7 linked regions of the Neurospora crassa OR74A genome follow. The protein of the gene in region 4 purifies or fractionates together with the protein of the main gene of each other region. This does not show direct contact. Links are inferred from orthologs where the notes say so. Each region holds a gene or a part of one and is shown on either strand. Other genes may lie near its edges. The genes, in order: NCU09380, NCU07942, NCU07795, NCU00404, NCU03380, NCU01524 and NCU01301.

Region 1 (4,688 bases), on a different chromosome or scaffold from region 4:
GGCAAGGCCGTCAGGCCATGGTCGCTCAGTGAGCTGGCCGTTGCACAAGGATATACGCGGCCTTGCACGGGTGTAGCCTTGAGGCAGTTCCGTTCTTCTATTCGGTTTCCAAGCGGCACTTAGCCATCAAGTGACGGTGAACCCGATATATGTCGGTCTTGGTGCCGCAGTCAAAATGTTTGCACAGCACTTTGCCTCTACACGCCATGTTGATATGGGGAGGTTGTGTCCCTCGAAAATTGTGGTACAAGTGGTTCAATGTGAAGGTCGTATGATAATAAGGCCTTCCAAGGTCCGGAATGGCGAATATAAGAAAGTTGTCTCGCTCCTGTCTGGTTAATTATGATTTACCTCACTCCAAGTAGGCCACGGCCTGTTTCAAGCGTCATATCTGAACCATCAGGGAAGTCTGGAAGCAAGCTTTTCTCTATGCAATCATATATAACATGTCCAGACTTGTAAACAGGGCTATCAGTCAACCGCAAATTACGCGGGGCCCAACAAAATCGCATTGACAAAGTAAACAACATAAAAGGGGTATTTAGTCAACCTGTGGCTACCGTCCACTTTTGTCACTATAGCCATGCGACGCCTACAATTTCCTCAACCTAGGCATCGAGCTTCTCTAAAAGGAGCTTCGAGCCCTGGTTGCCCTTGGGGGCAGAAGCATTCTTGCCCTTCTTAGCCTTTGGCTTCTCCTCCATCTCTTCCTTCTTCGACGCCGGTGCTTCAGTTGCGGCCTTGATAAGGGCCTTCTTGTTGGACTTGAGGGTCTTGAGGAGCTCCTTCTTCGATGAGAAGTCGGAAGCCTCGAGCATAGCTAGCACCGTCCAAGAGCTAGGGCCGGTGGCCCATTGTACAATGTGGTCCTTGATGACGGGATAGAGAAGGTCGGCGAAGTTGAGCGGGGGGTCGACCTTCTGGATGCTGCCTGTGGCCTTGTCAAACCGGCCGCCAGCAATCAGTGTCTTGAACATGCGGCCACCGTGAATGGTTGTCGAGATGTGAGGGGGAAGAGCTTGGTAGGCATCCTTGGGCGCCTCAGCGTTGGGATCGCCACCGGCAGTAGAGGCAATAGCCTCCAACGCGGCCTTCTTATCTCCAGTCGCCGAAAGCAAAACATCAGTAACAAACTGGCAACCGAAAGAGGTGGCCACCAGGTCGGCGGGTGAGCTTGCGATGGCCGCAAGGAGCTGAGGCGACATGGCCGTCACCAACTCCTTACGCCTAACCTCGGCGTCCTTCTTGCTGGTCTTGGTGCGGATCTCGTGAATCTCCTTCAGAATCTCCAGGTCGGTGGCGTGGCTGGCAGGGAACAACGCTTTGGACATTCCCTCAAAGAGATATAATACCGTCGTGCGCGCGTTGAGGTCGTTAGCGAGAAAGATGACGTGCTCGGCATCCTTCTCTTCATTCTTGCCAAGAATCTCGGAGAAGATCGTCTTGGACGTGAGGACAGTGTCATCAAGGAGATCGTAGGCGGCGAGGATGATCGCGTGCGCGTGATTGTCACCACTCATGAGCTGGTAGGTGTCCTTGTAGGCCTTGAGCAGCTGCTTGCGGTCCTTGGCGGTTCCGTGCGCAAGGAGCAAGCACACGAGGCGGGCGCCAGACTTGGTGAATGCCATGTTTTTGAGCAAGTCGCCGGTCTCATCCTCCTTAATAGTCTCAAAGAACTCCTTGAACTCTTCGCTTTCGGGGTTAAGGTTGAGGAAGTACTGCAACAGAGCGTCGTGGAGCATGGTGAAACCAGTCATTTTCTTTTGAATGAGGCCATTGGCCATGTCAAAAAGGTACTTCATCGCCGTTGTCCTCTTGCTGGGCTCGTCAGCCAAAATCTTGGAGAGATCGCCAGTGACCTCGGTACCCTTGGGTTGCCTAAACAGAGCAAACTCGGGACCGTACCACTCGCGAAGGAGGTTGGCCTTTTGCTCCTTGGTCGCAACACCGCGGTAGACATCGTCCAGAATCCAGGAACCCTCAGCATGGTTGATGAGCTTGCGAACTTTGCCGTAAAACTCGGGGACGATGATGTCGCGGATCTCCTTGTCGTTCTGCACCAGAAGCTTGCCGATCAGGAACTTGGCATACCTGCTCTCGGCGAGCTGCGCATAGGTTCCTTGAAGTTCCTTCGCAATCTGCCTACGCTGAACCGGGGTGGCGTACTTGACGGCGGTCTGGACGGCACGGACAGCATCGTGCTTTAGGACAAAGTCCTTGATGCGGCCAGTTATGATGGTGAACAACTCCTCAACGAGCTGTTGGCGCTCCTCCTTAGGCACATGCGACTTGCGACGGAGCTTCTCCCACAGCTTCTTGGTACGGTGCACCTCATCGGCCAGTGGCTTCGCGTTCTTGCGTTCTTGGGCGAGTTGTTTTTGCTTGGCGTGCGCCTCCCTGGAGCTTGTGCCTGCGTTGTGTTAGTCAAATAACAGAGCGAGGTTCGGTCATCATGGGGCAGATATGGTAAAGAGAGACAACGTACCAGACTTGGTCTCGTTGGAGCCATTGCCGGACTCATTGGGCGTGGATGTTGTGGTCTCTCCTGTGTGGAACTCGGCGTCTGAGCTTTCATCGGAGGATTCATTGTCTTCGGCTTCGGCCTTGATGTGTTTCTTGCCAGAAGTGGTCTTTACTGCTTTTGTACGGCCATCCTCGTTATGCTTGCCGAACGCCTTTCTCTTTCCGCCGGCAGCGGCTGCTGAAGACGACTTGGTCGCCATTGATGCTATGCGATGTCTGTGTTGCTCCGGGATATGAAGGATTGATCTAGGTATGGGGGGCTCGTGTTGACGTCGTACTGGGTGGGCGCTGGTTCAAAGGTGATGGTCGAGCAGGAATATGTGAAAGTGCAGGTATTCAGACGGGAATCCGAAACTTTGGAGTGCCCTGTATCTGAAGCCTCTGAATTGGAAATTCTGTAGCACGTTTTCCGCTGAAAATTTCTGGATCCGCATCCTGGCATCTGCCGGGCGGTGAGAAGCTTTCCGGGGTTCTGTGGTGGGGCGACTTGATCGACACTGTCTAGAACTGTCCATTGATATAACAAGGAACCCAGGCAGGACCCCCACCATAGATTGAGCCGCGCTCGCGTTTTGGAGTTTGGCCTGCACCTGACGCTACAGTCACTGCAATGCCGTCTGGTTGCCCCTCCCGTCCTCTTCTCTAGGTTAGTAAACGCCTGAAAGTCAACATTGCCAGCACCCACTTTTGGAAGGAGTCTTTCACGTTTTATGTCGTCCAGCACACTGCAAACTTGAAAGGCGCCCTACCGATTGGACATCATGGGCCGCGAAGAACAAATTGAAGAGAGGGAAGTCCTCGACTCCATCTTCCCAGATGAGATCCAAGGTTCGATTGTTCGCCCACATCGGTTGCCGTTCAGGCATGGGCCTGTCCTAACCCAAGCTCGACTCGTCTAGATATCTCCGATACCGAATACCGGATTACTATCACGCTGGACATTCCTGATGATGATGCCGAAGAAACACCAAGCATGGTACTTACCGTACGGTACCCCGAAGACTATCCCGACAAGCCACCTTTCCTTGAGCTTGCGTCCGCCCCAAATGCGCCGCCCCATCAGTACATAAACATTGCCGACGATCGGTTCCAGCTGCTCGAAGGTATCCAAGAGACAATTGAAGAGAATTTGGGGATGGCCATGATCTTTACTGTTGTGTCGGCGTTGAAGGATGCTGCGGAGCAACTGGCAGTAGAGCGGAGGGACGCTGCCATCAAGGCGCAAGAGGAGGCCGCCCTTGCCGCGGAGCGCGAAGAGAACAAGAAGTTCCAGGGCACTCCCGTCAATCGCGAAACCTTTTTGAAGTGGAGGGAGAGTTTCTTGCAGGAACTGGAAGATCAGAGAATCAAGGAGGAAGAGGAAAAGGCGGCCGAGATGAAGAAGGCAAGGATAAAGGAGCCTGTCAAGCTCACGGGCAAACAACTCTGGGAGAGGGGCTTGGCTGGGAAGGGTGATGAGGACCTGGAAGGCGATGATGACGTCCCCGTGGAAGAGGTCCAGAAACTCACGGTTTAGGACCGTTAGACAAATCGTAAGCCCTCTATCACGTTCGCCAAAATTATCTAATTCTTTGCTGTAGGCTTTAATCCGCTCTAAGTATACCTAACCCATGTGAAAACCAATCCTGAACATTACTTTTTACCCCTCTTAACCGGACTCCAGGGTATGCCATAACAAGTTTGCCTGAAAAAGACGCCTCAGCTTAAGGTGGTATGGTTAGAAGACAAACGAGACGAAGCCAGTTGGGGCCATTTAACTCATCTCCTCATCTTCATCTTCCTCAACGTCTGTATCTTCCCAAACCTCATCTTCCTCAGCGCCAACAACACCAAGTTCACCCCTAATGGAGTCCAGCAATTCTTGTGCGTGTGCTCCAAGCCTTTCATCTTCGTACTCGATGGCCGCGTATGTCCGGAGGCATTGTGCAAGGTACTTGCGCGACAAGCGCCAGATATCTTGCCATGTCTCACCTTCGGGAGCTTGCAGTTCTCCGCTCTTGATTTTCTCGCCCAGAAGATACCTGCCATAGCCACTTAGATACCAGACCTCCACAGCTTGGTCATCTTCAATGATCAAGCGCTCTGCGACGTCTATCGCCTTCTCCTCCATTCCAACCTCAATCAGCAGTCGGACCAAGCTCACCCGAGTAGGAAACTGTGGCACG
Region 2 (3,831 bases), on a different chromosome or scaffold from region 4:
ATCGAAGATCGCTCCACGACCTGCGCTACCAACGCGTCGGAAGCGCGCAAGCTGCTCGAAGCAAGCGCGCCGCGCACCATTGTGGTCATTCAAGATCCGACCATGGTTCGACGGACGGTGGCATGCTTCGACCGTGTCTACATGGACATGGCGCAGCCCCCGACAATCCTCGGCTGTCCGATCTTTGTTCCTCGCGTAAAGCGCAGCGGTGGCGGCACTAGCGGGCAGCTGGCATACGAATCACCGCCGGTCAACGAAGCATTGATGTGGAAGATGGACCGTTTCTTGCAGCTGGTCATGGGCGAGATTCCGCGATTGAGAGATGACGAATACGGCTATGGTCCCAAGGGCAATGGCTCCATCGTCCATGTGGATATTCCCGATGAGGTTGAGCAGGCTTATACGCGGCTTGCCGGCAAGATTGCGCATCGTAGATGAGTTTCCGGAAGTGATTCGCCGGGTGTCCGGGACGAGCTCTGTGGAGCCACACATTAGGCTTATTTTGTGAAGATAGACGAAAGAATTAGATACGAGTATAGAGAGTACCTAAAACGCATCTCGTTGACACCAATCAGATACCTTGCATGAAATTTGGTGGAATGGTGTTTCAGTAACAATTAAACCAAGGTTGATGTATATCAGTTACTTTTCAAACTACTACTTATAAACTAGGAGTCTCCTGGGTAACATTGTGATATATTGAAAGTCATGAGGAGGTTCACGATTCAAGACATTGGTCAACAATGCAATGTATTTCAAGGGAACGAAATCAAACAAAGCAACTCTATTACGCCAGCAGCCATGATATCTCAGCAAAAACCATTTTTACAAAACGAAATCAGTTATCAAACCCGCCCCATCCCTCATCTTCCTTCTCCACAGGCTTCTTGTCATTCCCCGGTAGCCTGTCATCCGACAATGAGTCCTTGGACCTCACTCTTATCGCGGGGCTGACCGTGCGCTGCTCCAGCTCCTCGATCTTCTCGATGATCCGCTGCACAATCTTGAGCGCCTCCTCGTCGCTCTCAAAGTCCAGCATGCCAACCTTCTCGGCCTCGTCCACCCAGATATCCAGCACGTGGATCTTGAGTCCCGAGGGTATCTTCTTGGCGAGGAGGTGAAGCGGGTCCTTGTTTTCCTTCTTCTTGGGTTTCTCTTTCCTGAGAGATTCGTGTTGGGGCTTGGCATCTTCGTCGTCCTCGTCGGCTTCGGGTTCTTCTTCTTCTTCGGAATCGCTATCCTCCTTGACGTCCTCGTCCAGCGCAAACGGCCACTCGGCAAGTATGTCGAGAACCTGATCGACTCTTTTGGCGTCCCACGCGCTCTTCTCCTTTCCGCTTCCCTTCTTCCCACCCTTTTTGTTGGATTTGGTAGCAGTAGCAGCACTGACATCCGCTTTCCCATCCTGCGCGCCCTTCATCCACCTAAAGGAAGCACCCACCACCCGTCTGACCAGCAACAAGAACTTTTCCATGCGCAGCACGTCGATCGACGTCCACTCGCGCGACATGGTCGCCCAGAAACCCCTGAGCCAGGGGACGACGGACTCCCGAGGGAGGATGTAGATGAGATCGGCGAGCTCCTGGGCAAGGGTCTGCTGGGGGATGGCGCGGTCGCACATCCACATGGCGTAGAAGAGACCCTTCCACAGCTTGAGAATGTCGATGGGCGAGAGCGTGGTGGCAATGTGCTTGGCAGAGAGGAAGGTGTGCAGGGAAGCGAGGGCTGACTTGCGGATTTTGCTGTCTATCGAAAAGGGAGAAAATGTCAGTGATGGAGGGCTTATCGAATGGGGAATTGGGTATACATTTTGAGTTTAGATAGAACGTGATTGGATGTAGAAGTGGTAGTATTGTCAAGAGATACAAGGTAGGCAAGTATCCCAAGTGGTGATGTAGCTTGTACTTCGATCACATGGCAGTGTATGTACTGGAAAGTGGGATGCAAACGTACCGCTCGAGGCGAGGTTCTTAATGAACGGCATATTTTGCGACGCCATCTTGACTGGTTTTTTTTTGGTGGTGTTTCCACTCAACTCGATTGTTTCGACTGTTTCGTTGTGTTGTAGTAGGGCCAAAACGCAAATTGGGTATACGCTGTGTAAAAAGACGAAGTACTGGGATCGGTTTCCTAGAGGCGACGAGATGCTGCTGCAGGCTGGGCTGGAGATGATGGTGGATGGAGTTCAAGCCGATTGAAACGAAATCTTGTCCGCCCGGCAGAAAAAACTGGTGGACCAAGCTTCCGAGAGTTGACAATTGGAGATAAGCAGCTGATAAGACTTTGCGGCAGGCATTTGGCTTGTCCAGCTATCGCCAAGATGCGGGGAGGTATGCGCTCGCTATGTGATTGGTGCATGCTAGTGACTGTGGATTCGGCTATGATCGGCAGGAACCCGACAGCAGTCGAATTCCATCCCGGCCGCACCCGTTCCCCAGCAACCTCTGCGGTGGTCACAGGTGACAGCTGAGTCGATGCCAGCAGCGTGAGGGCATGGCATTCAGTCACCAGCGACATCGTCGGCAGGGCGGAAGGTGCATCACGAAATTTCGATGGTCCCCGTCAATGTAGAATCCGGCTCCATCCATTCTCCTCCGTCCCGCTTCCCCGCCTTGCCCGCCCGTCCGCATTCCGCTATCGATTCGGGATCTCCTTCTTCCCGCTTGCTGTTTCCCCTGATCCCCATACTCTCCCCTAACTTGGTATCCATGCCACTCTGTCCGGACTTCTTCTGGAATCCTGCTTCTTTTGTCCACCAGGCATCGGGCCTAACGACATCCTCACCGCATCAACTGTCATGTGGCCTAGAGACTGTGATTTCATTGAAGGATTTACTTTGAAAAACTGGCGGTCTTGCTAGTCACTTTGATACGCTCAAACTTTCATTTTTTTTCTCAGCCCTGCAAATGGTCATGTGGACTTTGTGTTATCTTTTTCTAGTGTAGTGTCTAGTGTAGTGTAGATAACGTATACCAGCGGGCCGTCAAGCCTATCAGGTTCACATGAAGTCCGACAGCCATCCAGACCCAAAAGCACAGTAGTGTATCTTCTATGGGGAGGTTAGCACCAAAGGGGAAGCTCAGGTCGCGCCTGGCCAGACAGCAAGTGAAAATCCTCGGACTTTCTTTGCTTCAGTTAGGGGAAGCAGAAGGGGAACTGAGGACCAACCAGTGTCGTACTCCGACCACAGAGGGAGGAAGAAGCTGTCAGGGCTGTGAACCGTTGACCAATGCAACAAAAACAGGATCCAGTGACAGTCAGGGGTAGATCTACACGCCCTAACCCCGCGGCGACCATTGGGCCTTTACCCCGGATTGCGGTCTGTCTGGGGCGGGGAAGAGAGGAAAGCTTGAACAGAGACATGTGACAAAAAGGAAGGAAGCGCGGGGACATCTACAACATGTACCATCTTATTGGAGCGCTTACGCAGGTGAAAATGCGCCTTGAACATGCCACCTCATCTGAGTCGTATCTAAACGATAAAATAAACCCTCCCAAGCATGTAATCGCTGGATGTGTTCGACCTATCTAACGATTTGGCGTCCCTTGTAGTTTTGACTATCGGTGTTGATACGGACACACTAAATGGTTATCTTGACGATACCTACCTTGAGGTATAGTACTTTATCTGATACGAGATTGTCGTCTTGTGATTGGAATCGGAACTTTTAGGGGAAACGTCCAAAACCCGGGCTTTGGACGATATCAGCTTGGTTAGTGGAGCGGTTATCACTTCGGATCCTAATACAGGAATTTCCTACAGCTTCCGACAACCCTGGTTTGCTTCCAGGATCGATTTCTTTTCGGACATTCTGACCGTCGTGAATTGCT
Region 3 (3,730 bases), on a different chromosome or scaffold from region 4:
ACCGCAGCGTCTGCCTACCGCGTGGTCGACGACGACACAGCTTTCTGCTTCTGCTTCCGCTTCTGCGCGCCGTTCGCTTTCCACCTCTTCCGCTCTCCAGCACGGCCACGTCGACCCTCCCAAGCCCGGCGAAGAGTCAGTTTGAGCGCATTCCCCTTCTTGTCCCTCACCAGTCTCCCACAACCACTAACTAGCAATTTGTTCGCGGCGGCACACAGACTCTACGTAACATTCATCGACAAAGACAACCAAACCCACCGCCTCGCCGTCTCCGAAGGCGACAACCTGCTCGACATTGCCCAAGCGCACGACCTCGAAATGGAAGGCGCCTGCGGCGGTTCCTGCGCGTGCTCGACCTGCCACGTCATTGTGCAGGACCAGGACATGTACGACCGGATGCCGGAGCCCGACGACGACGAGAACGACATGTTGGACTTGGCGTTTGGACTCACCGAGACGAGCCGGCTGGGGTGCCAGGTGCACATGACCAAGGAGTTGGATGGGTTGGTGGTCAAGTTGCCGAGCATGACGAGGAATTTGCAGGCTAGTGATTTCAAGTCCTAGACCGTGCCGTCATGGAATGAATGACATGGGATTGGGGGGAGGTAATATCAGGCGATGAAGGGTTGAGCATGGAGGAAGAAGAAGAAGAAGGTAGAGGTGAAGGGGCAGGGGATTCACTGTGGTGTAAAGAAAAATGGAGACGGACGACGGAATATATATGGCACAAACACGACATCTATTCCATTTCTGTCGGATTGTTGAGGCGACGGCGTTCAGCGCAGAGTTTATCGGATATCTGTGATGGGCAATGTTCATGTTGATGGATATGACGGATTGGCAAGAGCATGTTGACTGTTCATACTTCTGCATGGGGCTTGTACGTTGTTCAACTGTTTGCCCCAGATCAAGGGCACGGGGTTGTATATAAGAAAATAGCCTAGACCTTGACAATATGCAAACACAATAAACAATCACCCCTCTACACCAGAATGCAATTCCCTTAAGCCTCCTCCAAGCCACCCTTCTTCAACCCCCCACCACCGCTCGCAATCAAGTCCAAGAACCCTTTCCTCGACATCTCCGTAACCTTCTCTTCCCTCCTCTTCACACCCACGATTCCCTCCTGCCTCGCCGCCCGTTCCGCCTCTTGCGCCTTGACCTGCGCCGCCCTAACCGCATTAAACAGCTTCACCACACCCCTCTGCGCCGTCTTCTTCAGCCTCCTCTCCGTCTCCAGAATCTGACCCGTCGTCTGCTCGCCCTCCTTTCCATCCGGAATCTCCTCGATCTCGCCCGTCTGGATGTTGAGCGTCCTAGTCTTGCTAGGGACCAACACATCACGCACCCGACCCTTCTCAAAGGCCAGACGCTTCTGCTCGCGCAAACGCTTGCGCGCCTTGGCTTCGAGCGCTGCGTCGACCAGGGACTTGGCGGCGGCTGCAGACTCGGCGGAGCGCGCGACAATGGGGTCGGCGCGTCGCGAGGCGGGCAGCTTGGAGGAAAGCATTTTGGTGATGGAGGTGGCGAAGGCGTCGGGATCGTTGCGCTTGGATTTGGTTTGTCTCCTGTTGCCGTTCTCATCACCCGAGCCGTCGAGGTCGAATTCATCGTCGAGGTCGGAGCCCAGGTCGGAACCGCCGTCTAGGGAGTCGTCCTCGTCGTCTTCGGAATCTGGGGCGTCTTTGGCGACGAATTTGGGTTTTGTTTGCGACTTCTTGGAGGACTTGTTTGATGGTTGTTCGGCTTCGGAATCATCAGAGTCGGATGCTTGCTCTTCGTCTGTGGATGCGCCATCGTCGGCAACGAGGTTGTCTAGGTCTTCGTCGTCCGAGTCGAGGAGGTGGGCGGGAACGGCGGAGGTGCCGGCCTCCTCGTCGCTTTGGTCTTCAACATCTTGCTGCTCGTTGTCGGATTCCTCCTCTGAACTGCTGTGGTAGGCGGCCAATGCTTGCGCCTTCTGCTTCTTGGACGGTCGGACGGGCTTGCCCTTGCTGCTGGGGCCTTCTTTGCGCTTGGTGATGCCCATGGTTGTGATTGTGTGTGTGTCTGGTTTGATTGGATGTAGGTTGTATGTGAATTAAGCAGATGGAATAGTGGTTGTGTTTGGGATCGATTTGCCAGCTGATCAAGCCGAGGGGGAGAAATACGGGCAGAATTGTTTATCGCGGATTGGAGGTGCTGCCGAGATGGTCGAGGTTCGGAGTGCAGGTCCCTCCATTCGAAACTTCCCAATTGCTGAGGTGCTCTCCACTCAGAAATTTTTGGCGGTCGCGGCCGGCAATATGCCCTGCGTCCCTGTCCCTGTCTTGCGTCAACCCCACACTTGGTGGAACCAAGGGCAGCCCAGCGGGGATGAACGGTGGACCCGCTCTGCCGTCATCAGAATCACCCCTAACCCTAGTAAGCCGTGACTTCAACGGCTCAATTCGACGACAACCTCTTCCCATGACAACTCGACATTGACATTATCGAACAGTATGAAATTGTCTACGTGTTTCACATTTCGCGCTTTGGATCGATACGATCTCAAGCATATGGTCTCAGGACACGTTACTCACAAACGGGCGGCAGCGACGAGACCTAACAAAGTTGATCTGCCCCTGGACCGAACCTGAGCACCTCGATGAACAGCGGTCGGCATAATGTACAGACCTTTGTCTGAGCATGTTGCACTTCGGCGACCAATTGAATGTTGAAACTTTTGAACATCATTTACAGTCGAACGATGCATGACGATATACCTGAGCTCGATTAGGTAAGTAATGCACGTCAATTCCGGGTTTTACAGGTTAATTCACGTTGGACATACGCAAGCGGAACCTAGATGAATCCGACTGCCACCGTTGAATTGGTTCGCATTACATCGATCGCTACGGCTCCATGCACGATACCTCTTATCTTGCTGTACATACCTTCCTCTACAGAACACAGCTTCTGCCATCCAAGAGGCACGCTTCTGCAGTTACAGTACATGTACCTCCCTACTTTCCCGAGCCAGGTTTTCCTGACGGAGTGACCAGGTTCGATGTATTAGAAATCCGTGGAGCATCCAAGCTGCTACTGCCTGCCATCTCGCGCCATTTACTAGTAGGTAGTGACACGTGGGTGAGCGATTGGAGGAAGAGTATTGGATCGGTGCCCTCAGGTCCTGAACTTTGAGCTTCGCACCTTCCTGTCGCTAGGTCGCTTCTCCCAACTTTGCGTGTAAGTGATTGGGTCACGGTCTCATAAAACACCATTGCCATGGAGCAGAAGCAGTTCGATGTGAGCTGTAGAAGCAAAGCACGTCATGAACTTGTTCATTTCCAGAGATGGAACAACGCCAAGTGAAAAGGTGGGATATCAGCACACGGTTACGGGTTCGTCATGATATCCGAGAAGCAAGTCCGATACGGAAGTATCGTGAAGATCAATCTTCATACCTGAGCTAAGTCAATGCATTCTATTCGCCTCTGGTTTCGGATTGCTGACTGGTGTTCAGACCCGCCAAAGAATCAGGCCCAAACTACTAGTACGTGATCTTTTATTTTCCCGTGACCAGGAAATATGTAAATATCATTGCTACTAACGCATCGTGCATACAGCGCCAAGAAATCACTAATTGTGAATAGGTAAGGAAGCTACCAGTGCGATGCCACACTCTGTTGCTGACAGATTCTGGAAGTTTGGACATGTTCCTTCAAGACGGACCGTGACTTGCCTTACCCGCCCGATTTCTAGGAATGGG
Region 4 (4,350 bases):
CGGTAGGACTTGCCAATGGAAGCAGAAGCGAAGGGCATGTTGCCGGCGTTGTACTCGAGGAGCTTGGCGAAGTTGAGGAACTGGCCCTGAGCGGTCTCGGGGCGCATGTAGCCGGCAAGGTTGCCGCTGGGGCCAATGGCAGTCTGGAACATAAGGTTGAAGGCCACGGGAGGCTCAGGCTGGACACCGGTGGCGGGGTTCTTCAAGTCGTACTTCTTGATGAGCTCGCCGAGCTGCTCGCCGTTGTAGTTGTCGATCTGGGCGAGGATCTCCTCGTACTCCTTGACGACGGCGTCCTCGAGCTTGACAGCCTCGGTACCCTTGGCCTTCTTCTTCTTGCGCTTAGGGTCCTCCTCCTTGTCCTCTACCTTCTGGCCGCGAGCCTCCTTGTCGCCCTTGAGGCGGGCCTCGAGAACGTCCTCGACGAAGTGGTCGGCGCGCAGAATGTCGCCGTTCTTGGGGTCCTTGCACATCCAGTCGGCGAACTTGTCGACGTGGCCGGAGGTCTTGAGAACATCGTGGGGGGTCAGGGCGGTGCAGTCAACCTCGAGCATGTCCTCCTCGAGGACAAAGTGCTTGCGCCAGATGTCGATGATGTTGGCCTGGAGGGCACAACCGGGCGGGCCATAGTCGTAGAGGCCAGCAACACCGCCGTAGATATCGAAGGAGGGCGCAAAGAACATGCGGCGGCGCAGCATGGACTCGAGAGCGCCCTTGTCGAGGGGCTGGCCCTTGAGGGTGGTGGCCGTCGAGGTCATCTTGGTGTTTTGTTTTTTGACGTAGACTTGGAAGCGATGGTGCGAGGTAGAGAGGGAGAAGGATCGGAGCGAAGTCGAAGAGATCCGCGGGATGGGCGCCGGGGTCCAAGAAGTTCGACTGGCGACGGCTCGGGTGGATAAGGTCGATTTGAATGCTTGACCAGCAACAGGAGAACGGAGGGAGGCGAGACGGGCAAGAGGTCGCATGAATTGGTCTTGTTACAGTGCTCAAGGGAACCAAGTGAGTCACGGTCGCCCACTGAGGTTTCGTCGAGGCCTTTTCAATTGAAACACGTACTTCAACCGAATCGCGGGATGATTTTTTTCTTTGGGGGGGTAGAGGGGCGCCATGGAGGGGCCGGCACCAACGACCCAGACAACCTAAGCCAAGGGACAGCGGTCCAGATTCCCGCTCTCGAGCCGCCGTCAGTGGCGGCGCGGTACGCGACAGAAGGCTCGACTCGCTGGAATCCACCAGCCATATCAGGAAGTGGAACTGCACATGCTACTGTACACTACCTCTACCTACCTAAGTAACTCCCTTACAGAAAGCGCATTCCGCTGGCTAGCGTTATTGTGACTTTTCATCGGCTAGAGGTATTGATATTTGATTATCAAGAGTCCGTGATGCCGCCGTTCTTCATCCCAAAAATTCTGCTTCCGTCCCAACTTACAGCAAGGGACGGGATGGAGTCATCCTGTGCAGGTGACAGTCAGGTAGTAGTGTACACTGAGGGGTAGCGGTACGTACCTGTCCCCGGCTGAGGCCGTGCGTTAGCTGTTGGGGTACCCTTGTAGATGCACGTCTTGGCGCCCTTGATGGCTCTGGGCCCAGAAAAAAAGTTGAAAGTTTACCGGGCCCGTTCAATTCATCCGTCAGGTAGAGGTAGCAACAACTGCCCAGCATCACGTCGAAGTTTGAACTGTGACCTGGAGAATTGATCCTACCCTACAATTTTGACACCGCGACAACCACTAATCCCACCGCCGTGTTACCACATCGTAGCCGATATGCCGTCCGGTAACAAGGGCAAAAACCGCTCCGGCGGATCGCTGTCGCTCAAGACCTCCAACAAGATTGTCAGAAAGCAATTATACGTCAAGCAAAAGAAGGAGCAGGGAAAGGAACGCCATGAGGAGCGTCACCGCCGGAGGAAGGAGGAGGCCAAGGATCCCAAACTCAGAGAAGAGCGCCTCGCAAACAACCAACCCTTGACCATTGAGAGGAAACGCGTGTGGGATGACGTTGACGACGACAGCCTGGGCGTCGCTGTGGATGTTGCCGAGCTCAAGAGGAGGCGCTTGGAGAAGGAGGAGGCCGAGGCCGCCAGGCTAGCCGATGGAGTCACGGAGGAGGATGAGGAGAAGGACGACGATGCCGATTCTATGTTGGACTCGGACGAGGAGGGTGACGACGACGACGAAGATGCCGAGGAGCGCATCGAGAGACTCAGACAGGAGCGTGCGCAGAGGAAACCCAGCATCGCTCCCTCGACCACGTCGACAAATCTAGACATGACTCCCGACTCGCTCACACGACAATTTCCCAATCTCTTCAACGAGGAACCCCCAGTCGACCCCAAGATTCTGGTCACCACCCATTTGAACGGCACCATTCACAAGGAGGCGGAGGACATTGCTGCCATCTTTCCCAACAGCACGTACATCAGACGCAGTGCGCACGCGTATGGACACAAGTATAGTGTTCGCGAGATCGCAAAGTTTGCCAAGAGTGAGTAGCGCACCCAGGTTGGAGTTTTGTTGCCCAAGAGAAAATTGCTAACACAGGCCTGAATTGTTACAGACCGTGGATACACGATTCTCATGATTGTCGGCGAAGATCTCAAGAAGCCTAGCTCCCTGACCGTCATCCATCTCAACGGCGAAGATGTTGCCCCTGGTCCTTCGTTGACATACACCATCCGGAACTACCTGCCTGGAAAGGCTCTCCTTGGCCACGGTAACCCTACAAACCACTACGTAAGCCGTCCATCCTAATCCCCAAGTCCATTAATTACAGGACATTGAGACTAAGCATTGCAACCAAAAAAAAAATACAGCCCGAGCTTCTCCTCAATGGATTCAAGACCCCTCTCGGTATCCTCGCCGCTAAATCCATGCACACCATGTTCCCTCCCAGGCCCGAGCTTTCGGGTCGCCAGGTCGTGACATTGCACAACCAGCGTGATTACATCTTCTTTCGCCGCCACCGCTACGTCTTCCGCGAGGCCCGCACGACGGAGAAGAACGTGGTTACTGCGGAGGGCAAGGAGATGGAGGGTATGCAGGGTATCCGTGCTGGTTTGCAGGAGATTGGACCCAGTAAGTCTTGCTACCGCGGAAAACAAAAGTTTTGGCGAATGAACCGAAAGTGGCTGACTTGTTTTGATAGGATTCACTCTCAAGCTTCGTAGAGTGGATAAGGGTATCGGTCGGGCTGGCAGCGAAGGAGAGGATGCTTTGAAGTGGGAGTGGAAGGCCAAGATGGAGAAGGTTCGCACGCGCTTCAACCTCTAAGGGGGCTGATCATGATAGTAGTATTGGTGATACCCTTCTTTCAGTATGCCATCGTCTCTGTTGGCACTGGAGAGTATTTGTCTTGTTCAAAGTGTGTATGTGGCGTTATCGGTTCACAAAAGGGTTTGGGAGGAAGGCATGATTCATCAACATCAGGTCACTATGACTGTACTTCAAGACTACCTATTTTCTGTGCATGTACCGCCGGTTTCCTCTCCCTTTCTACGATTTATGACCAGCCTTCTTGGCTTCCTCCTTGAGCATAGCCACTGGATATCTAACCCAGCAACGAAATCTCAGCCATTCTGCTCAGTATCATCGGCAAGAGAAGCTGGAGATGCCGCCGAGTTGCGGTGATAGTGGGCGATCCAGATGGTGTAGAGGGACGAGCCGAGGATGCCGAGAAGTGAGAAGAGGATGCCCTAGAGGGTTATGATTTCGACTTGCTTTTGGGTTTGATCTGTTGCTGAACCAGGTACGGTTTTGGTTGAAAGAGGTAAAAGATAGGATATCATAATGACTGACTATCCACACCCCGCACACGACAAGCTGGGACCAAAGCCAACATGGCTCTCTCGGGTAAGACGGAGTGGTAGAGAACGTGATTCGTCACGCCACGATTGGCGTGAGCAAGATCCAAGCGATTTGGTAGAAGGTTACAGAATTAAAAGCTATTAGCCAATGAGGAAGGATCACATCGAGGGACATGGCCACGCTGAGGGGAGTGTCTCGGGGAGAGATGGAGCGAGGACAAAGAGCGAGAGGGGAGGTCGCGAGAGGAGGAAGACGGTCAGGTAGGTGGTGAGGAAGTGGAAGGTTGCGAAGGAGAGCTGGGTTAATTGGAAGGATGGGGTGGAGAAATGGACTGAATTGTGAAGACCTGGGTTGGTTCGGTTGTTCGTAAGGAACTGTTGGGAGAGGAGAGCAGGGAAAGATGAACAATCAGTATTGAGACTACGATATTGACCGCCATTCAAATGAAGGCGGGTGCGGGAGAGTTTTCCCTAGATAGTCAATGTGTTTGGTTTTCCTATTCAGAAAGCAAGAGGCTTTAGTCTTATTCATCTTAGCCAAC
Region 5 (3,984 bases), on a different chromosome or scaffold from region 4:
TCTTCGCCTGAATCACAGTCAAAGGCATACTGATGAATGAGAACATCGAATTTGGTTCCGGTACAATGCATGTTTTTCTCTGAACATGATGGTCCTTACAGCTCAGACAATAAAGATTCAATTAACTGCAAAACCTTGTCCCACTTCTAATCATGTTAACCCGGCGTGTGGTTGAGAGAACAAAACCGAACATGGACACTTCAACGTTATCCATCCTACTAGGGAAGGAAGGCCGTTGCAAGGCTGTGATATGCCTCCTTATGACTTGGAACCACGCCGTCCAGAGTCTATTAGGGATTATTTGGTTCAGGAAGGAGTTTGAAGATTGCCTAGAAGATAAAATCAAGACGCATGCATGCGAGCAAGAGTATACTGAAGGTGTGATGTAGTGGACTGAATACATTGGTTTGGTTTGTTCATACGAACACTTTGTTACCACAATGTCTCGAATTTCGAGAACATTTGTGATATCGATACTGTGTCTCCATTTGGGTGTTATGATAGATATTGTCTCAGGCAAAACAGCTGTACTTTTCGAGTACACCCATTATCATGATTACCATGAGGACTCATGGATACAGCATGCCAAGAACCAACAAAATTCCAATTCATCAAAAGGGTATATACGCCTCATACGCCTTTACGTCTTAGAAAATGAACCATTACCATCAACTCCCATTACCCAAGAAGCTACTCAATCATCAAACCCACCAAACTCTTCATCACTATCGTCCACCTTCTTCACCGGAGCCTTCGGCTTGGGTGGGTTCGCCGCAAGCGCAGCTGCCCTCTCCTCCGCCGCCTTGGCCTCGTTCCGTTTCCTCACCTCCTCAATCATCTGCTCCAGCTTGAGATGCTCCTCCTTCTCTTTCTCCGTCATCTCGCTGAATTTCTTGGCCTCCCTCTTTCTCCTCTTCTTCTCGCGCCTCTGCAGTTTCGTCTCCTCCTGTTCCGCCTTGCCGCTCCACGCCTCGTTCTTCTTGCGCTTGTCGCCCGTATTCTCTTCCTGTGCCCGCTTTGCCTTCTCCTCCTTCCACTTGGCCAGCTCTTCCTGACGCTTTTTCTCGCGCACCTTGTCCTTGAAAGGAATTTCTTCCGTGTTGATGCCCAGACCCAGAGAGCGGTCGATCTTGGCTTCGCGGACTTCGGGCATCTTGGGCAGCTCGAGAAGGCCGTAGCCCTTGGCTAGGTCGAGCCAGTCGAGGTCGGCGATGCGGAAGATGGAAGAAGCTTGGTGTTCGATGTAGGAGCGCGTCCAGGAAACGAAAGCGAGCTGGGCCATCTGGAAGATCTCGCGGTCGGCGAGGGCTTGCGATCGGAAGGCGGCGGAGACGCGCTCGACTTCATCAGGGGTGACGGAAATGGCGGGCTTCTCCAGGGGCGTGATGGGAGTTTGACGGACTTCAAGAAGCTGTACGTAGCCTTCCTCGCGACCCGGCTGGAGCAGAACGACGGCGAGACCCCGACGACCGGCACGGCCGGCACGACCGCAGCGGTGAATGAAAACCTTGGTGTCCGTGGGCGGGTCGTGCTGGATAACGAGGTCGACTTGGGGGATATCAAGACCGCGGGCGGCAAGATCGGTGGTGAGGAGGACCATGGGCGAGGTGGTGTTGACGAAACGCTCATAGTTCTTTTCGCGGACTTTAGGTTCGAGTTTGCCGTGCAGGGAGGTGACGGAAAAACCGGCGGGCAGGACGGCGCCGAGAATGCGGCTGAAGTACTTGACGGCCATGCATGAAGAGAAGAAGATGATGGATCGCTGGGGCCTGGGCTCGAGCTTTTCGAGGAGCTGGACAATTGCTGGCATTTTCTGGCTGGCTGGGGTAACAAGGTAGCTCATCTGTAGAGACATTGGTGTTTTCCTCTCTTGAATTATGCCACCGTCCTTCAGACTCTTCACTCTGACGGTGATCTTGTGTGGGTACAATAGACCAACTGTAATCAGCCTTTCAACGGCGTCACTGAGCGAAGCACTGAAAAGACCAGTACGGCGCTGCTTCGGAAGATATCCGAGAATGCGGTTGAGCTCGTTCGCGAAACCCATATCGAGAAGGCGATCGGCCTCATCCATAATGAGAACCTCAAATGTAGACGCGGGAGCCTTGACGTATGCGCTCGACAAGAGTTCGGCAAGACGGCCGGGAGTGCCAATTAGGAGATTCGGGGAAAGACGAAGGAATGTACCGAGATCCTCAGCAGCCTTGGTGGTGCCTCCGACAAGTAGTTGGGGGACAACGACAGGCTGGGTTGCTGTTGGGCGCTTCTCGTCGCTTTTGGCGTGGGAAATGGCTTCAGCGGAGGGTTCGTGAAACTTGACGAGGGAAACGAGGACATTGTAAATCTGGGTTGCAAGTTCGCGGGTGGGCGAGATGATAATGCCTTGGACATGGTTTCGCTTGGCTGGTTCTTCGCCGCGCAGGAGTTTCTGTTGCAGAATCGGTTAGCATATGATCATCCTGAGCTGGTAGACAGCAAGAGATCCGGCTTACCTCAACTACCGGAATCAAAAAGGCAAGTGTCTTTCCACTGCCTGTTACGGCCTCGACGACAACATCTTTATTTCCACGGAAGAGCTCAAGGCATGACTTTTGAACGGGAGTCGGCTGGGTAAAGCCCATGGAGGAGAGGTAGTCAAGAATCCATTGGGCGAGAGGAGGCGTGAGAGCGTCCCAAGACCTTGGAGGCTTCCGGACCTTAGTCTGTGGTTGGGTAGGCGCCATGTTAATTATGTGGTTGGCGGAGTATCGGGGCGTTGTAATCGATCCCTGAAGCTCTGCGTATTGCCCGTGGTGATAGCAGTGCGATGCTGTTGAAACAAAAATTGGCCTGGCGACCATCCAAACAATCCTTATCTTATCTGCCTATCGATAAAGCTAGCGTGAGCGTAACCTCGCAAGTTGCATACAGTACACAGCAGCCTTCACTTCTTTCGAATCCAATTTGATCGGTCCAAACCTAAAGATCTTCCCATTAGATTTCAGAAATTCGTTGGACAACTCACGACTTATACTAATTATATCCCAGATGTGCGCTCAAGCCGTTTTGTATCGTGAATATCAATAGACAGCTTTCGGATCTTCACGATCGTCTGTTGTTACTAGTGCAATTATCAGATATTGGAATGTGGGTCTCATCGAAGAACCCACGCAGCCACGGCAACCTGACAAAGGCTTGATCTTATTTGCTTACATGGTATAGGTAGTGTAATGCTACAACTGAAGGTGTCAATATTCAGCTCGACTAAGCTCCAGTGGCTCCCAAAATTGAAGTCTACGTCGTCTTCATCCAACCTTGTTTGACGACTGGCCGTCTGCTCAAGTCCATGATAGGCAAACATGCTAAGAACGCTTGAACCACTTTTACATGATGAGGAGATTGTGTACAAAGAAATCCCCATCAACCGAGATCGACCAAGGTGATGAACGTCAACGGTTGAGCAGAGTACAAAGTCTCTTTTCAACAAGGCACGGCAATATACTATGGTATAGGTATATCGAGCAACGCCTGGCATGAACTGAAAATGGCGGCATTCACGCCCAACCGTCTTCCTTCAGTTCAGTCTCAACTTCCTGTTGTCACATGCAAGGTCGCGTCGCTGTGTGCTGTTGCTGCTCTTGAAAGGCCACCACCCACCAATGTCATCACGCCTTGCCGCAATTGGGGTAACGGACCAGGGCAGTGAGCTGGGGAGCCCGGTGCAACCACCTGAAGCGCAACGCAGGACACGCGCCGGCTGATTCCCACTCGCACTCATGGCCGGGCATCCGCAACAGCCGAAATTTCTGTTCTTCACAAACACCGAACCACTGTCATTCGTCTATGATCGTCATCACTGGATCCTAAACCAAGTCCAGCCCAGGGTAACGTGCCACCTCAGCCACCGAGTACGGGTACAGTTTCTTTTTTTTCCTGCTTTGCACATCTTTTTTTCCTCTTGCTGTCAAGATACCCTTCTTTTTCCTGGACCTGAACCCTCCATAT
Region 6 (4,169 bases), on a different chromosome or scaffold from region 4:
CACCTAGTTAGGTGCCCAAGATACGCTAGGCAGGCACGCAAGGGGGCCTAGAGGTAAGTACCATAGGCCGGAGCCTCCCGCTCTTTCCCCCACTGGTGTTCTGGAGGGAACAGGTCCCCTGTAGCGAACTTTCACAATGAGTGAAGTGAACCCTCTACAACCTATCCTCAACTCTCTCCTCCGATATCGATGAGTGAACCTGAGTCATGACCAAAGTACTCCGAGTCGTTTTTTTTGCTTCTAAATTTTGATCAAAAGCGTTAGCCATACGTGTTCAACATTAGACTCAAGCCATTTGTCTTTCGCTTTAAGGAGCGACGTCCTAGGTATCGGCTCCAGTCCTTATCTCTTGTTTTCAAGAAGCACCAAACTCGCGCCAACTCCCAGGCACACTACATGACTTAGACGACCCAAAGCCCCTGAGAAGATGGCTAGTCCGTCAGAAAATCTGAAATTTGGGACGATGTCGCCCAAAGCTACCTTGGGACAAAACATGGTACTTTTTCTTCTTCTTCTCCTTGAGGAGTGTACTGAAGGTGGTGATATCATCCCAACAACTCAACGAAAGAGACACCTCGTGTCTCTTATATATATGGAAACAACCCAAATCATGGAGCAAAAATGTGAGACAATATCTCACAGCGCAACTGCATTTAAGGTAGAGTCTAGGTCCTATGCGAACAACATCTCCCTCAGGAGTGTGGTTATAGACAGTCAACCGCTAGTGAGGTGCCGAGCAAAGTACTTGCTCTCCTACCCTTCTTTGACCATCTCCTTTCAACACGACCAAGACCGGAGCCAGGACGGCGTTCATCACTCAATCTTGATCTGATGTGTCCGTTTTCGAGCCAGCACCTTATACGCTGAGTGCTCATCTACCACTCGATCATGATCCTCTTTCCCAACTGTCAAAAGAGGACAGCTCGTCCGTCTCACACATCCCCACGAATACTGTAATGTTGTACAATGCAAATCGATTTCCTTTCTTTTTCCCGAACCAGACCAAACCAGCCAGCCAGCAAAAGTACAAAAAACTCCTTGATTACCCCTAAACCTAAGGCGTGCGTTGCTTTGATGTGTCGCAAGCGAACAGACGTGATGAAATCGTGTTGTGAAAAGCTCTCTCTCTCTCTTTCCCCTCCTCCTCCTTTCTCTAAGCAAAGAGCTCCCGGGTATCCAAGACATCCTTCTCCTTCTTCGCCTGGGCCGTGAGGGTCTCGAGCTTGCCGAGCCTCTCCTTGACCTGCTCCACCCTGGTGTTGTGCCTGGTCGCCTTGGCCTTGCGCAGCTCCGAGCGCACCTGGTTGGGGGAGATAAAGCGCTTGTTCTCGTAAATAATGGGGCCGCCGAACGCGCCCTCCTGTATGATGATGGGCGTTAGGACGAACCGAGGTCCGATCTCAACCAGACTGACGTCTGTGTCCTTGAGCTCCGCGTTGGGCGCGCCCTTTCTCTTTTTCGATGATGACTTGTCGCTCTCGGGGACAATGTCGTTTCCTTCGCTGTCCTTCTCGCCCTTGGCCTTCTCCACTTCTCGGATCTCGTAGTTGCGTACCCAGATCTTGCCGTCGGCAATGCTGAAGCTCATGACGTGGTCGATAAACGGTTTTGACTTGCGCGCGCCCTGGGGGACGCCAAACATTTGCAGAAACACCTCCTTGATGACGCGGTAGTGCGGCTCTTGCTCGAAGGCGAGGTCGAAGGAGAGGAGTGGCCTCGAGCCCTTGAGGCAGTTACCCGTGAAGTGAAGCTCTTCCATGGTGTGCACTGTGCTTTTTGTTAGAACCCGATTTTTCCTCTTTCACAATGCGTATCTCGGATATGGATAGTGCTCACAGTTTTGGGCGTGGAACTTGACCGTAGGGCCGTTAGGAACCTTGCTAAACCACATGTACAGATCCTTGCCCTTGCGCGCCTCGAAGAACATGACGTTGTTGCAGTTGTAGAGCTCGGCAAGCTCGTTCAGTTGGTACAGCTTGGACTTGGAATCGAACTTGACGTCTTTGCGGCCGTGGGGGAGCATCGCTGCGAGATCGTTGAGGAGATGTCTGTGTCTGTACTCGGGGCGCAAAGGCGGTTAGCAATTGACCCTTTCTTCTTCCATCTTGCAGGTATGCAGGGTCTATATGTACCTGTAGGTAACGCCTCTGGACGAGAGAATCAGAACTCTCTGCTTGTTCTTCCGAAAGCCGCCATTGGTGGTGGTGGTGTTGTTGTCGTTCTCCGTGTCCTCGACCTTCTTGGCGCTCTTCGAGAGCGACTTGTAAACGGCGGCCATTTTCTTTTTGTTCTTGTCGTTCTTTGGGTATCAAAATCGGGCGAAAAACAAGGGTGACTGAAGTTGGTGGTGGTTGTGGTGGAAGTGATGGCAGAAAAACGGAATGCGGATTGCAAAGGTGAATTCAATGCTCCAATCCACGAACGTCGCGGGCGAAGCGCAGTGATGGAGTGCAGGCTGTTCCATCTCAAAAAAAGTTCGCCGGCCAATCGCAGCCCCACTCCGATAAGCTTCTCTTATCTTACTAGCGTCCCTGTTCCGGCCCCCCTGCTTGGAACAGCTGAAAGGCGGTCGGCGGTCTGGGCAACCCGCATTTGTCCCACTGATGGACCCAACCTGGAATCCGGACCCCCAAGTTCTGGGGATTCCATTGCCTACACACACTGTCCAAGTTCCACGCGTTCTTCTTGTCTGCCCTACAGTGGGGGATGGGACGGGACTGGCCTCTTGTCCGCACTCAAACCCACTTCAACCGCCTCGGGTGACGCGATGGGAGTAATGAGGGACAGTCGCCATAATCCATCAGGCAAGCCCAGATGTCTTAATTTGTATTGACTGTTTCCCGCTGTCGCACATAATCAACTTGAATGTCATAACGAGATCCTGCACGATTATCGCTACATAGGTACTCACTCTCGAGGTACTCCTCTTCTCCCACATTGTGGATGCAATAGATGGAGACCTTGACAACGTGGAGCAATATGTACCAGGTTGAGTTAAGGGCTGTTTATCGCCCATAGTTCATTTCAACTAAATAATATCTTTCGTAATCCATGCGCAAGTGATGGCTTCGTTAACCACATTGAGGAAAATTCCAACGACCAGCACGGGGGGAAAAGGGAAGAAAGGGGTAGTAGTAGTAATAACAACAAAAAGGAAAGGCTGGAAGACGAGCATCATGATCCTTTCCCCCCTCCCCAAAAGCCCAAAAAAATAGAGAGAAAAAGAAAAACAGACCATCCCATCGGCGACCGTGATGTAATAAGACTGGGCAGGATCCGTCCGTACTTTTCCCCCGATGCTGCTCTTCATTGCTCATCATAAGCCTCCATTGCTTCATGTCAGACATATGTGACGCCGTTGTTGGTTCGGCACCCTGTTGTACTCTGCTGCACCCTGCACCTCAACCCTTCAGGGCCACTCGGTTCCCGGCCCGGAGAATCAAGCACCTCCTAACAGCAGCCAGACTTCGCCTGGGGGTCGTTCGCGGTCTGACTGAGCGAGATGCTCTGGCCAGACAGGTTTTGGTGGCCCTCGTTGGACCCGCTGGGGCCGTTGTCGAAGTTCTTGGTCGACACGATCTTGTAGATTTCTAGATAAATGATCGCATGTTAGCGGTAGGCTCGCGCCAGAGCAGCAGCTGTAGGCTTTGGGCAAACGTTACCAGTCAAAATGTTTTGGAACGCAAGCTCGACGTTTGTGGCGTCGAGAGCCGAAGTCTCGATAAAGGATAGGTGGTTTTCCTCTGCAGTTCTCTCTGTCAGTCATCCTGGCGATACGGCTTTCCCAAGCGACCATGTCATCATGGCTGTGACGCGCAACGTACCGGCAAACTTCTTGGCGTCCTCCGTGGGTACGGCTCTCAGATGCCGCAAATCGCTCTTGTTACCCACGAGCATGATGACAATGTTCTGGTCGGCATGGTCGCGCAGTTCCTTCAGCCATCGGTTCACGTTCTCAAACGTCACGCCCTTGCTGATATCGTAGACGAGGAGGGCGCCGACAGCACCGCGGTAGTAGGCAGAGGTGATGGCGCGATAACGTTCCTGGCCAGCAGTATCCCAAATCTGTGCCTTGATTGTCTTGGAGTCGACCTGAATGGATCTGGTAGCAAACTCGACGCCGATGGTGGACTTGGAGTCGAGGTTGAACTCGTTACGGGTGAATCGAC
Region 7 (3,575 bases), on a different chromosome or scaffold from region 4:
TGGTTGCGAACCACAAGGAGACCGTGCTCAAGTACACCAACCTTGACTATGACAGGATACAGAACATCACCTACCTGAACGAGTTTGATCGTGAAGTGCAGACCGTAACCTGGGGTTACCCCACCGAGGACGCCTACTACCGCGATGCTTCCTCTTGTGACGCTGTCTTAGGCATCAGGATTCCCTTTATGGCCCTCTCTGCCGCTGATGATCCGGTGAGCATATCTTCTCCTTTTCCCTCAAGAGTGCAGTTTGAAACCCCCATGAGTATAGAGCTGACAAATTACTAGATCGCTGTTGAGGAGGCCATTCCCTACCAAGAGATCAAGCAGAACCCCTACACGGTACTTTGCCTCACGTCTCTCGGCGGACATCTTTCATGGTTCGAACTTGGTGGCGGACGATGGCATACTCGTCCTGTAAGTTTCTTTTTGCCTCACTTTCCGGTAACTTTTTGCTGATTTGTTGTCTAGATCTGCAACTTCCTGAACAAGATGGCTTTCGATATTGACTTGGACGCCATCAAGCCGGATGCTTGTGACAAGTTCGATAGCCAGTTCAGAACTCACTTCGACCCTGTGCAGCGAAAGTTGCAGATTCTCGATGTGGATCAATAGATGGTGGTGGAATGAACACTTGAAAAGAACGAAGACTGTACATAGATTAGCTATAGAGATGGGTCCATCGATTGGGCCTAAAGGGTCTAGACGCGCTTCAAGGCACATTGGGGCTGCACATAGACTTAGATTCGCGCTTTCGACTTGGATACAGGTTCGAACGTACGTTCATTGATGGCTTATGCGAGCCACGAACTACACCATCCTGACGGTTTCACCTAATAACATCTACCGACTCATGAGAAAAAGAGGCTGGACCAAGGCTGGCGTGCCCAATTGGTATCTTTAATTTCCACACACAAAATCAGTCAGAACTGTTCCCCCAGCCAAGCCATCCTACCCGCCGCCAGACTTTGATTGATATAAACGCCCAGACGCCATACATGCGAAGAAAAAATGCTTGGTGTAGGTATTACACGACAAACTTCCACCCTTCCTGTCTTCATTCTCCCAGCCCATTCCCAGGAGGGACCTTCAAAGCTCCCAGCATCCTTGCTTGATTATTTATTCGGGAGCAGCGAAGGATACCGACTTCTTCTTTTTCGACTTAACGGCTTTCGTGCCCGCAGACGAGAACTCCTTGACATCTCTGGAGTCATCGTCGTCGTCGCCCTTGCTACCGCCCGATTGCTTGCTGCGCTTACGCTTCTTGCGCAGCGAGTCCTTAGTCTCTTCGAGTCTGGCCTTGCGCTCAGCCTCCTTCTTCTCGGCTTCAGCGCGTCTCGCCTCGCGGATCTCCTCCATTTGTCGCGCCTTGATCATCTTGGACTCGATCTGGCCCTCCTTTTCTGCTTGTACGATGGCTAGGATAGTGGCCATGCTCTCCTGTACAAAGGGGGAAAACATGTCAGTTACTTGATGCTTTCCGGTCTTGAAACCTAGCAAGAAAACAAAAAACCAATATGACCCCAGACGCTAACGAAAGACAGCTTACCTTGTCATCCACAAACACCTTGCCCTTCTTCTTTCCCTTTGGCTTGGTCACACCAACGGGGGTGATCATGTTGAGTTCCGGAATCGCAAGCTCCTTTTCGCTGTAGGTCTTCTTCTTCTTCTTCCTGGCGATAAGCTCCTGGATGTTCGGTCGGCCCTTGCTGGCAGTCACGAGAGTGTGAGCTTTGCCCTTCGGCTTTCCCTTGGACTTGAGCACTCCATCGTTCCTCGACCTCTCCGCATCTTTGCTGCCCTTGATGCCGGATTTGTTCGCAGCGTGCTTGTTCTTTATCGTTTTTGTCGGCGCCATTGTGAGTTGTGGTTGATTCGTTGATAAGGTCGTAAGAAATCAACGATAGATGAAATGGTGGTTCGGGATATGGATGGGTGGATGGAGTACGAATACTCTCGAATGTATCCTGTACGCTGTCGCTTCAGTTCGGTCGACTTCTGGGGAAAATTTTGGGACCGGAATTGGTCCCTGCCTTATCTTATCGCGGTTAATCCAAGGTACCTCTAGAGCTTGTGCATATAGCACTGTATCAACGCCTGCTGAGCGCGGTTACGGGGCAGTGGGGTCTGTCAGCTCGCCGTGGGGCTGCCTTGAAATCTCTAATTGGCAGCTGGGGATCGGCAGGCGAGCAGGAAACTCTAGTTTCCTTCTAGTGTAAGCGCGGGGTTGGCAGCACTAGTGGAGGTACCTATTCCATATCGATTGCCTATCGGTGCGTTCCCTCACTGGTGGCACTCCGAAATCGCCAAAATTTCCAAGATCACCTTTATTGTCGCCATCCTTACATCGCAATTGATCACACTGCCGTGGTGATATCCCAAGAGTCTACAGTCCCCAGAAGTCTCAGACGCCCTATTCAGACAAAATGAGCACCGAACAGCCCGCGCCCCGCTGGGCCGCCTTTGCACGCGACACCAACGAGACCAAGATCCAGATCGCACTCAACCTTGATGGCGGCGCATTCCCTCCCGAGACCGACGCCCGCTTGAACGTCAGTATCGCCGACGGCCATGCCACTCAGGCTAGCAAATCGCAAACTATCAGCGTCAATACCGGCATTGGTTTCCTTGACCACATGCTCCATGCGCTTGCCAAGCATGCCGGCTGGAGTCTTGCGCTTGCTTGCAAGGGCGACCTTCACAGTTAGTAGACACACTTGGCTTGGGCGCAGAAGTCCTCGTGGAACAACATCCAGAACTCTGAATTGACTTTGTCCCTCTCATAGTCGACGACCACCATACCGCCGAAGACGTCTGCATCGCTCTTGGTTACGCCTTTGCCAAGGCTCTCGGCACACCCACCGGCCTCGCGCGCTTCGGATCCGCATACTGCCCTCTCGACGAGGCCCTCAGCCGTGCCGTCGTCGATCTGTCGAACCGTCCCTTTGCCGTTGTCGACCTCGGTCTTAAGCGCGAGAAGATTGGCGATCTCAGCACCGAGATGATCCCCCACTGTATCCATAGCTTTGCCGGGGCTGCCCGCATTACCGTGCACGTCGACTGCCTCCGCGGCGACAACGACCACCACAGAGCTGAGAGCGCATTCAAGGCGCTTGCGGTTGCCACGAGGCAGGCTACTAGCCGGGTGGCGGGTCGCGAGGGTGAAGTTCCTAGCACCAAGGGAACGCTCAGCGTATAAGGAAGTGGGAAGGGAGTTAGTTATAGGTTTGGATATAGAAGTGCAATGATACCATGTGATGTCGTTTACCGTGGTACTTTGCGCGCATGTTCGGCTGCCATCATTTCGCTATAGCGACGGCGTAGAGTTGAAGTGAAGAATGGAAAACCAGATACATGTTGCGAATTGGCGAATGTATACCTAGGGAATTTACCCCTGATGCAGGTTGTTGACAAAGTTCCCCTTTCGGAAAGTCGGACGTACGCGGGCTCCACAGCGGACAACAGAATGGGGATCGAGGGGAAAGTGGAAGCGCAAGAAAATCCCTTGAAATGATACGGAACCTCGCACGACCCAGTCGTTCATGTGACGTACATTACTTTTTCCTCCTCTTG

The links.
Region 1: the proteins of NCU00404 (region 4) and NCU09380 purify together in Saccharomyces cerevisiae (affinity purification with mass spectrometry; 4 studies listed by BioGRID, with this or other methods). This does not show direct contact. The link is inferred for Neurospora crassa OR74A from reciprocal best matches to the Saccharomyces cerevisiae genes RPF1 and PUF6.
Region 2: the proteins of NCU00404 (region 4) and NCU07942 purify together in Saccharomyces cerevisiae (affinity purification with mass spectrometry; 3 studies listed by BioGRID, with this or other methods). This does not show direct contact. The link is inferred for Neurospora crassa OR74A from reciprocal best matches to the Saccharomyces cerevisiae genes RPF1 and RRP1.
Region 3: the proteins of NCU00404 (region 4) and NCU07795 purify together in Saccharomyces cerevisiae (affinity purification with mass spectrometry; 3 studies listed by BioGRID, with this or other methods). This does not show direct contact. The link is inferred for Neurospora crassa OR74A from reciprocal best matches to the Saccharomyces cerevisiae genes RPF1 and RRP15.
Region 5: the proteins of NCU00404 (region 4) and NCU03380 purify together in Saccharomyces cerevisiae (affinity purification with mass spectrometry; 3 studies listed by BioGRID). This does not show direct contact. The link is inferred for Neurospora crassa OR74A from reciprocal best matches to the Saccharomyces cerevisiae genes RPF1 and SPB4.
Region 6: the proteins of NCU00404 (region 4) and NCU01524 purify together in Saccharomyces cerevisiae (affinity purification with mass spectrometry; 3 studies listed by BioGRID, with this or other methods). This does not show direct contact. The link is inferred for Neurospora crassa OR74A from reciprocal best matches to the Saccharomyces cerevisiae genes RPF1 and BRX1.
Region 7: the proteins of NCU00404 (region 4) and NCU01301 purify together in Saccharomyces cerevisiae (affinity purification with mass spectrometry; 3 studies listed by BioGRID, with this or other methods). This does not show direct contact. The link is inferred for Neurospora crassa OR74A from reciprocal best matches to the Saccharomyces cerevisiae genes RPF1 and LOC1.

What each region holds. Positions count from the first base shown.
Region 1 is NC_026501.1:3,514,220-3,518,907, reverse strand, and holds NCU09380 (pumilio domain-containing protein), read right to left. Parts: upstream 2,899-4,688; 5' UTR 2,724-2,898; coding exon 2,486-2,723; intron 2,411-2,485; coding exon 609-2,410; 3' UTR 383-608; downstream 1-382. Other genes in the region: NCU09381 (RWD domain-containing protein), read left to right, coding at 3,285-3,351, 3,423-4,039; NCU09382 (TPR domain-containing protein), read right to left, coding at 4,277-4,688. UniProt on the Saccharomyces cerevisiae protein: RNA-binding protein involved in post-transcriptional regulation. Component of the ASH1 mRNP which transports the ASH1 mRNA to the distal tip of the bud, where the ASH1 protein is translated and targeted to the daughter cell nucleus.
Region 2 is NC_026504.1:1,277,180-1,281,010, forward strand, and holds NCU07942 (hypothetical protein), read right to left. Parts: upstream 2,210-3,831; 5' UTR 2,000-2,209; coding exon 1,954-1,999; intron 1,747-1,953; coding exon 839-1,746; 3' UTR 739-838; downstream 1-738. Other genes in the region: NCU07943 (DUF218 domain-containing protein), read left to right, coding at 1-438. UniProt on the Saccharomyces cerevisiae protein: Required for 27S rRNA processing to 25S and 5.8S.
Region 3 is NC_026505.1:268,469-272,198, reverse strand, and holds NCU07795 (DUF1665 domain-containing protein), read right to left. Parts: upstream 2,199-3,730; 5' UTR 2,030-2,198; coding exon 1,004-2,029; 3' UTR 826-1,003; downstream 1-825. Other genes in the region: NCU07794 (2Fe-2S iron-sulfur cluster binding domain-containing protein), read left to right, coding at 1-135, 219-564. UniProt on the Saccharomyces cerevisiae protein: Constituent of pre-60S ribosomal particles. Required for large subunit rRNA maturation, in particular processing of the 27S pre-rRNA at the A3 and B1 sites to yield 5.8S and 25S rRNA.
Region 4 is NC_026503.1:3,739,666-3,744,015, reverse strand, and holds NCU00404 (RNA processing factor 1), read left to right. Parts: upstream 1-1,631; 5' UTR 1,632-1,769; coding exon 1,770-2,490; intron 2,491-2,562; coding exon 2,563-2,738; intron 2,739-2,818; coding exon 2,819-3,080; intron 3,081-3,150; coding exon 3,151-3,275; 3' UTR 3,276-3,645; downstream 3,646-4,350. Other genes in the region: NCU00405 (glycyl-tRNA synthetase 1), read right to left, coding at 1-965. UniProt on the Saccharomyces cerevisiae protein: Essential protein. Required for biogenesis of the 60S ribosomal subunit.
Region 5 is NC_026502.1:904,097-908,080, reverse strand, and holds NCU03380 (ATP-dependent rRNA helicase spb-4), read right to left. Parts: upstream 2,801-3,984; 5' UTR 2,724-2,800; coding exon 2,493-2,723; intron 2,429-2,492; coding exon 695-2,428; 3' UTR 384-694; downstream 1-383. UniProt on the Saccharomyces cerevisiae protein: ATP-binding RNA helicase involved in the biogenesis of 60S ribosomal subunits. Binds 90S pre-ribosomal particles and dissociates from pre-60S ribosomal particles after processing of 27SB pre-rRNA.
Region 6 is NC_026502.1:3,192,815-3,196,983, forward strand, and holds NCU01524 (ribosome biogenesis protein BRX1), read right to left. Parts: upstream 2,430-4,169; 5' UTR 2,279-2,429; coding exon 2,133-2,278; intron 2,055-2,132; coding exon 1,837-2,054; intron 1,768-1,836; coding exon 1,154-1,767; 3' UTR 610-1,153; downstream 1-609. Other genes in the region: NCU01523 (GTP-binding protein ypt3), read right to left, coding at 3,451-3,590, 3,663-3,743, 3,825-4,169. UniProt on the Saccharomyces cerevisiae protein: Required for biogenesis of the 60S ribosomal subunit.
Region 7 is NC_026505.1:3,571,481-3,575,055, reverse strand, and holds NCU01301 (60S ribosomal subunit assembly/export protein loc-1), read right to left. Parts: upstream 1,990-3,575; 5' UTR 1,861-1,989; coding exon 1,552-1,860; intron 1,443-1,551; coding exon 1,122-1,442; 3' UTR 775-1,121; downstream 1-774. Other genes in the region: NCU01302 (hydrolase), read left to right, coding at 1-215, 291-419, 474-617; NCU01300 (imidazoleglycerol-phosphate dehydratase), read left to right, coding at 2,429-2,705, 2,789-3,201. UniProt on the Saccharomyces cerevisiae protein: Required for efficient assembly and nuclear export of the 60S ribosomal subunit. Involved in asymmetric localization of ASH1 mRNA.